Cricetulus griseus: one gene and its partner. The protein of the gene in region 1 interacts with the protein of each later gene in a biochemical or structural test. Links are inferred from orthologs where the notes say so. Each region holds a gene or a part of one and is shown on either strand. Other genes may lie near its edges.

Evidence for each region.
Region 2: the proteins of Slc9a3r2 (region 1) and Slc26a3 form a complex in vitro, tested with the Homo sapiens proteins (2 studies listed by BioGRID and IntAct, with this or other methods). The link is inferred for Cricetulus griseus from reciprocal best matches to the Homo sapiens genes NHERF2 and SLC26A3.

The regions. Positions count from the first base shown.
Region 1 is NC_048600.1:44,234,572-44,238,710, reverse strand, and holds the start of Slc9a3r2 (Na(+)/H(+) exchange regulatory cofactor NHE-RF2), read left to right. Parts: upstream 1-1,238; 5' UTR 1,239-1,421; coding exon 1,422-1,634; intron 1,635-3,878; coding exon 3,879-4,079; intron 4,080-4,139.
Region 2 is NC_048598.1:168,963,365-168,967,698, reverse strand, and holds the start of Slc26a3 (chloride anion exchanger), read right to left. Parts: upstream 2,824-4,334; coding exon 2,693-2,823; intron 2,213-2,692; coding exon 2,073-2,212; intron 1-2,072. UniProt on the Homo sapiens protein: Mediates chloride-bicarbonate exchange with a chloride bicarbonate stoichiometry of 2:1 in the intestinal epithelia. Plays a role in the chloride and bicarbonate homeostasis during sperm epididymal maturation and capacitation.

The DNA.
Region 1 (4,139 bases):
CAGAATCTGCAGAGAGGGTTGGGGGCAGGGAGCAACAATGTATCTTCAGCCTAAGTGCCTTTCAGGGGCAGCCACTAGGGTGTGGGTACCCAAGGGGCTGCTGCCTATGATTTTGCTCAGAGGCGGTCCTGGTGCTTGGGTGGAGGTGGAGAGCTCCAGCTAAGGGCTCCGGAAAGAGGAGAGGGAGAGGCAAACACTGAACTAGGGCTGCATCTCCTATCCACATGGGGAATTGTATGAACTGGCTATACCTGATCCAGGGGGACCAGGTAAGTGAGGAGCAGTGGGCTGGGGAGAAGCAGACTGTAGGTGAGCCTGGATCTCAGCTGCCATATGTGCCTGAGAATATACTTGCAGGTCAAAGTGCAGTCTCACAGTACTAGGCTCCAAAAAAGGTTCAGAACCTCCCTTTGCCAGGCCTCGGTTTCCTGATCTGTAAAATGGCCTCTTTCCTCCGGGGTTGTTCTGAGGGTAACTGTATAGGAATATGCATAAGTGATTCTCTGAGGGACTGCTGTCCCGCAGGTGAGAACTTACACAAGTGTAAAAGTAAGAGTTTATGGGGGATAGAGGATGGGAGACCTGTGGGGTTTAATATGGGACAGCTGGTCACCACCTAGAGCTCAGGAGCCAAAGTTCATCCTTAGCAGAGATCATACCAGGTCAAGAGGAAGGCAGCAAATACCCTTGCATCTCTGCCAGATAAACTCATGTTCCCGAAAAGCAGGGACTATGGGTTCAGGATGTTTAGTGAACAAACACTTCCTGGGAGGGGCAGGGGGTCACCTAGTCACTGGCATGTCTCTTTAAATTTGTATTTTGCCTGTTGCACTCTGTGTTGGGGATCTAAATTCAGAGGGCAAAGAGGGAGCGGCCAGAGCAATCCCGGTGCGGTGCGTAGAGGTGTATTCCGAGGAGGGAGAGCAGCGGCCCCTGTTCTTGCCCTCTGGTCTCTGTGTAGGGGTCCTTTCTCTAAGCTCCCTATTTCAGGAACCTCTTCAATGTAGGGAATGTAGGGTATGCAGGTGTCTATGAGTGGTTCCTGGAACAGAGGGCGAAGGTGCTTCGGAGGGTGGCCAAAATGGGATGACATAGGAGTCCCAGGGCTCGGGGTTGTGACCCTGCAATCTTCGCTCCATGGTCTGGGCTCCCAGGCAGGGGCCTAGCTAGCGGGGCTTGGGCTAGGGCGGGGGCAGCCAGGAGGGCGGGGAAGGGGCGGGCGCGGGGGCGGCGCGCTGCAGCAGGAGCAGGAGCAGGGGCCAGGGCCAGAGCCGAAGCCGGAGCCCGAGGCGACGCGAGCTGAGCGGGAGCCACAGAGGCCGCTGCCTGCTCTCCCGCCCGCGCCTCCGCCGCCTCCGCGCTCCAGCCTGCGGGGGTGTGAGCCGTGGCCAGTCGCGGCCAGCCAGGGGGCAGCGGGTGCCATGGCCGCGCAGGAGTCGCTGCGGCCCCGCCTGTGTCGCCTGGTGCGCGGCGAGCAAGGCTACGGCTTCCACCTGCATGGCGAGAAGGGCCGCCGTGGCCAGTTCATCCGGCGCGTGGAGCCAGGCTCCCCAGCCGAGGCGGCCGCGCTGCGCGCCGGGGACCGCCTGGTTGAGGTCAACGGCGTCAACGTAGAGGGCGAGACGCATCACCAGGTGGGTCCCTGCGCTGCGCCCCGCCCCCCGGCACCCTCCTGGGGGCGCGTCCCTACAGCGCTGGCCAAGATGCCAACAACCCCCACTTCTGCGTGCCACATGGTGGGACCCGGCCAGGGTCGCACAGGGGCCTGCCTGGGTTCGGTGTTGAGGTGTGGGACGTGGCCGGCCAGCTGGCCTCCTGGTGAGGAAGCTCAGTCCTGCACTAGCGGGGGAGGGAGGACATCCTGGTAGGGAGGGGCCGCACTGCGGCTACTCTGGCCAGGGCCCTGGCTGCTTCTGCTAGTTTTGGCCTCTGTGTGCCATGGAGGGGGAGGAGGTGGCTAAGGCACCTTGTGGCCTTGTGGTACAGATGCTTTTCTGTCAATGTGTGAGTGCTTGCAGGTCTCTCTGGGGTCATCCATATGAACACACTACCCAACTGTTCCAGGATGAAAGCATTCAGTGTCAGTGCTGGAATGTGTGTCTAGGGTTGGGTGGATACATCAAACATGTATGCCAGCTGTGTGTGTGTGTGTATGTGTGTGTCCGTCCATCTGTCTGTCTGCATGATTGGATATACTGGTGTACTTCTCTCATGGGCCCTTATGTCTGGGTCTGGCAGTCAGCACCATGGCAGTATACTTCCTTGGTGTCAGAAACAGCCTCCTCCTGAGAGGCTGCCTGGCCCTCCCTGTATAGGTCACTGTTCAGCTCTTGCCTTCTGTAGCCAGAGGAAGGCTGTTCTCTCCTCAGGTTTTACCTCTGGGTGTCTGTATCCTGCTGAGGGGTAGACACACCTCAGACCTTGGCTAGGGCCCAGACTTCTTCCACCATTTCTGCCTGGATCCCTGGTACCAGCATGTCCATGACCTACCTGTGTGGTTAGTCTTGGAGCCTGGAGAAGGCAGGGTGGTACTTCACTGGGCCATGAGGGAATTCCTGTCTCCCTCAGGAACCTGCTTTCTACCTACAGTGACCACTGGATTTGGTTGTGTGATGAAGAGTTTGGGATGGAGCCCAAAGGTTGGCCCACAAGGCAAGGTAGAGACCTGCAGGGTTGGTGTCATCTGCCTCTAGCAGTTACTGGAATCCACCTGTTTATCGCAGGTTTCTGGGGTGCTAGTCCCTACAGACTTTCACGCAGAGCCACATTCGATCCTTTCTCCTGCTCAGGAAGATAGGAGGTAAAACCATGACTCCTATTTTACTGACTGGCTCCGTTCCCATGCCAAAAGGTGTCAGGGTGCTGGGATCCTGTTCTATTGGTCACAGGGAGAGAGGATGGTCATGGAGGGGCCAGGTGAAGGTGGCTGTGGGTCAGACCTTCCTATCTGTGATAGGATAGCATGTACTAAGTGAAGTAATGATGGGGATTCCGTCTCTTCAGCCGCAGGCCTTGGTGCAGTTGTTAATGCTTCCTGCCCTTCAGATGTCCGGTGGGCATGTCTCCCTTTGAACTCAAACTAACATCCTGCATGATCCATGGTAGCCCACATGCTCTCCACACTTCACAGGCACCCATCCAGATACACAGATGGCTGTCAAGCCACACCTCTTACACTGTTGTATCTGCTACTGTTCGCCTTACCTGCTGGAGTGGGATCCTGCTTACCTGATATTTCTGGCACCTTAGGTAGAATCTCTAGTTCTTCACCCCTTTGCAGGTGCAGCAAGAATGGGTTTCTAGTCCTGGTCTGGAGGCAAATTGGAGTTCTAGAGATTTCTGGGTGTTAGATTCACACTGCATCTCAGAGAAAGAAATAAACCCAAATACTCACATTGGGGCCATGTAGCCCTCTCCTACACCTAGGCGGAAAGACAGACTTTAAAATAGATGCACATACAGACACACACACACACACAAAAGCACACACATACAGATAAGCATGCACACACACATGCATAGACTAGACTGAAATCCTGAAGCTCAACTCAATCGTTTCTGACTCTTCCATCTGGCTGCTCCTGGCATCTCCTTCCTGTCCTTACCTGAGCTTGGTGCAATGCCACAAGAGGATCCTGAAGTACTTGCAGCCTGGGCCCTAGCTCAGGGAGAAGAGGGAGGGAGCTACTGGAAACTGGGGGTGGGGGGTGGAGCTCGCAGGCCTCTCAGTCCAGCTGCCCACCCCTGGCAGGCCAACCCCTGCCTGCTGTCTGTGAGTCGTGCTTTGCCAAGAGTGGCGCCCTTTCGAAGTGGTGCCCTATCCATGTGTTGCCCAGCGTGTTGGCTGCTGATCTAGTCCTGCTACCCACCCATTCCAGGTGGTACAGAGGATCAAGGCTGTGGAGGGGCACACTCAGCTGCTTGTGGTGGACAAGGAGACAGATGAGGAACTCTGCCGGCGGCAACTGACCTGCACTGAGGAGATGGCCCATCGAGGGCTTCCACCAGCCCACAACCCCTGGGAGCCAAAGCACGACTGGGCATGCTCGAGCAGCCTTGGCTCTGACACTGGCCAGAAGGTATGGTGGGCTATGTCTGTGGGGATAATGAACCTTTTCCAGAACTCTTGGTAATAGTCT
Region 2 (4,334 bases), on another chromosome or scaffold:
ACATTGTTAGAAGAACACACGAGTATGAATCTTAGAAATCTTGGATCAGCAACAGTCTCTCAGAAGGGCACAAGCAATCAAAGACTTGAAAGTAAAAATGCTTCAGTTGCAACATGGGTCAATGAAGAGTACCTGCCTAACATGTGGGATGCTCTGGGTTTAATCACAGCATGGGAAAAACAAAAGCACACTCAAGGCACACTATTAGCAAAGTGAGCTTTAATCAGAGGATTTAGCCCAGTAATAGAGCACTTGCCTAGCATGCAGGAGGCCTTAGTTTGTCTCCCCAGTACCGCAAAATAAGGATGTTTAGGGAACTGGGCTATAGCTCAATGGGAGTATATTTGCCCTGGGCTTAATCCACTCTCCCCTAATCACATTAAAGACACAGGAAATGGCCACAATGGGTCATCTTTTAGGCCAGGCATGGTGACACATGCTTGTAATCTTAGCATTTGGGAGGTGGAGGAGGATCAGGAGTTTGAGGCCAGCCAAGGCTACATGAGACCATGTTTCAACCTCCCTTCCTCTCTTGAGTTTTAAAAACAGAAAGTGAAATGACAACACAGAGAGTGAAAACAGCTGTTGCATATATATATATATATATATATATATATATAATATATATATATATATATCAGATAAAGGTCAGAAATATACAAGTAACCCTTGCAACTCAACAGTGTTCCATAGCTCATGGTGGCCTCACATATGCTATCTAGTTTATGCCTCCTGCCTCTGCCTCCTGGGTGCTGGGATGGCAGGCATGGACACCTGAGTCATATTGTTCTGGCAATGGAACCGAGGGCTTTGGGCATGATGGGCAATCACTCTACTCATGGAGCCACATTTCCAGCCTGGCAACCCGCACTTTTAAAACAGCCAAGAAGAACTAGGGGTCTAGTTCAGTCATAAGGTACTTGCTTGGTATGTGTCAGGCCCTCCAGCACCACCCGAACAAACAAAACAAAAGATGAAGGATTTGGAAACGTAGTTTTCCAAAGACACGCAAAAGGGTAATAAGCACAAGAAAAGAGCAGATACTTAACCAAACATCATTAGCTAATAGAGAAATATAATCAAAGCCACAAGGTGCCACTTCTCACCCACTGTGATGGCGAAGATAAAAAGATAGCAAGCAATAAGGTGGAGCAGCATCTGAAGCTACAAGCACTGCTGGGAAGAATGGAAATGAAACAACATCTCTACAAGTAATTACACATTGAGCTACCACAGGACCCAGCACTTATACTCCTATGGATGTATCCAGACAATTTAAACATATTTTTAGATGAAGAGTTGTACGCAAATGTTCATAAAAGTTTATTCATCATCACCTCTGAATAGAAATGACTCAAATGTTCAATGAAATGTGGTACATGCAGTAGAATATTGTCCTTGTTACAATATGAATAAACTGGATAGCATTATGCTAATAGAAAAGAATCAGACACATACAATTCCATCTGCACGGAATATCCAGAATAGGAAAATCCATAGATACAGAAAGTGTTAAAGCGATGAGTGGAGGGAAGAGTGTGATGTGTCTATCAAAAGGTAAAGGCTTTGGTGTGTGTGTGAAGGGGTAGGGAGGAGAGAAGGTGGTGAAAATATGCTAGAATTAGTGATGCTAGATGTGCAACCTGATGGATATGCTAAAAACCATAGAACTATACATATCAAAAGTGAGGCTGGGCATTTAACATGTTGGTAGAATGCAAGCCTTGCTCTAGCGCGCGCGCGCGCGCACACACACACACACACACACACACACACACACACACACACACACAGAAGAATTATAAGGGTGAATCTTTTTGTTTTTGTTTTTCAAGACAGGGTTTCTCTGTATTGCTTTGGAGGCTGTCCTGGCACTCGCTCTGTAGACCAGGCTGGTCTCAAACTCACAGAGATCCACCTGCCTCTGCCTCCCGAGTGCTGGCATTAAAGGTGTGGACCACTACCGTCCGGCATAAGGGTGAATCATAAGATTCAATGTTAATTGAATAAGACATGTTAATTACATCTTTAATATAAAAGAAAAGGTAAAAGAGAAAAAAGGGAGGAAATACCTTGTAGTACAGCCACCAGTCCCGTGCTGATGCCAGAAACGATGTCACTCAAAAGCCATTCCTTTATCTTGTATGCTGGCAACCAAGATGCTATGGGGAACAAAGACAGGGCGATTTTCTTGGCCCTTTGTGAGGAGCAGCTGAAAACATTGAAAGTACAGATTAGTGAATTAATATCAAACTTTAAGTTTGGTGTCTAAAACTAGGTAGAAAATTGGCAAAGCTGACATTATTTCAAAGATGAAACTGGCAATTTCACTCCCACTAACAATAGCCTCTTTGCCCCTGCCAAAAGCTTTGGTCACTACCAAAGAAACTTTTTAAAAAGGAAAATGCCAGCTTTTCTTTGGCTGAAACAGAACTGTATAGCATTTCAATTGAGAATTTGCCTGTTTCCATCTGTTAGTCTCTGACTTGGAAGCACTGTGTTTGTGCCGCTAGCTGAGATGGTGTGTTCTTTTTGCCTTTTCACCTCAGGCAGTGAATAAAAGGCTTGGAAAGCCAAGACTGACAGATTCCCGGACCTATGGACTCGAGCCAGAAGAAAAAGCATGAAAGCTAGAAAATTTAGGAGAAATTGCTTGTTTCTTCCTCATTCCAGTACCGTAAGAATCTCTTACCTACAACACCCTTTGAGATGATCCAGGAATGTCTTGTGGTGTCTGTGCGTCTTCTTGAACTCCTCTCCAAAAGTGTTTGTGGAATACACTGGTCTGGCCACTATGTACTGATTCCCTATGGCTTCAATCATTTTGCTTTCCCTGGTGACAGTGGCAAGTAGGAAGACCTTTGAAACTATGTAGTGAACACTTCTTCTTGCCGTTAGCAGGTTAAAATGTCTGAAACCAAACAGAGCTTGCTTCTTAAATAACTCAGAGATAATGTGATGCAATTTACAGATGAGTGAGCTCCGAACTGAATGTTACCACCTTTTGAGATCAAAAGAGGCAGGATTAAGGGACCTAGGTCACATTTTGCCATGTGATACCACTTTTCCTTCAAAAAGCTGACACAGCTCCTTTGGGTAAGTAAGCATGGATTTCTTATTTTTATTTTCATTTTGGAGACAGTGTCTCACTATGTAATAATCCTGGTTGGCTTGGAAGTTGGTATGGGGACCAGGCTCATCTTGAACTCATAGAGATCCACTTACTTCTGCCCTCCAAATGCTGGGGTTCAAGGTGCACAACCAAAAAGCAATTCATTAAGTTGGTTTACATACTAAACAGTTTTTGAGAGTTGATCTCACCCTTTTTTTTTCTAGAGGTATTTCCAAAGATCCAGTACTGGAACAGTGGGACAGACTCAAAGCCTATTCATTTCCCTTTAATTCTAATCAAGTTCATCCTAATTTACACATCAGAGTCTTGTTTTTTATAAGACCTCAAAAATGGTTTAATTTGTGAAAATCAAATATAATTTCCATTTGTATTCCTATGATTCCTGGGAGTCAAAGAACTATGTACAGACAAAGTATGCCTTTGTTTACATAGTTCATGAATGACAAGGTCCTTTCTAAGGAAAGACTGTGGGTTACCGACTTAACCTTTTTGAACTTCTGTTATATATTGAGACAATGATACCTATGTTTAAAAGATTGAAGATTGAGAATGTTCAAAAGTTTCAAAACGTCTATGATGTATCTGACATGCTTCAGGGGTTCACCACTCCACAGTTATTATTCTAACAGCTAATGTTTTCTGGGGCTGGGGATATATCTCAGTGTGAAACACCTGCATATATGTGGCCACAGGCTCAATCCCTAGTACCACAAAATACACAGATAAGTGAATCAATCAATAATAAAATAACATTTTCTATGTAAGTCAGTGGTTCTTAACCTGTGGGTCGGGACTTCTTTGTCAAAACTCTATCTCCAAAAATATTTATATTATGATTCATATCAGTAGCAAAATTACAGTTAGGAAATAACAATGAAATAATTTTTGGTTAGAGGGTCATCACAACATGAGGAACTGTATTAAAGGGTCTCAGTATTAGGAAAGTTGAAAAACACTGATATAAGTACAAAAATTTGTGTTAATGTCTCTGTTTCTATAAGTTAAGAAGATCAATTTATAAAACCTCTTATGTACATTATCAGTTTACTACTCACAATTATTTGAGGCATTAACTATTATTATTACCCTCATCCTGCAAATGAGAAAATATGTACACTCTCACCTACCACAATCTAAGTGTCTTTTCTTCATGTAGCTAATTAAGTCAATCACGGGACCTCCACTTTCAGACCTTTCTATT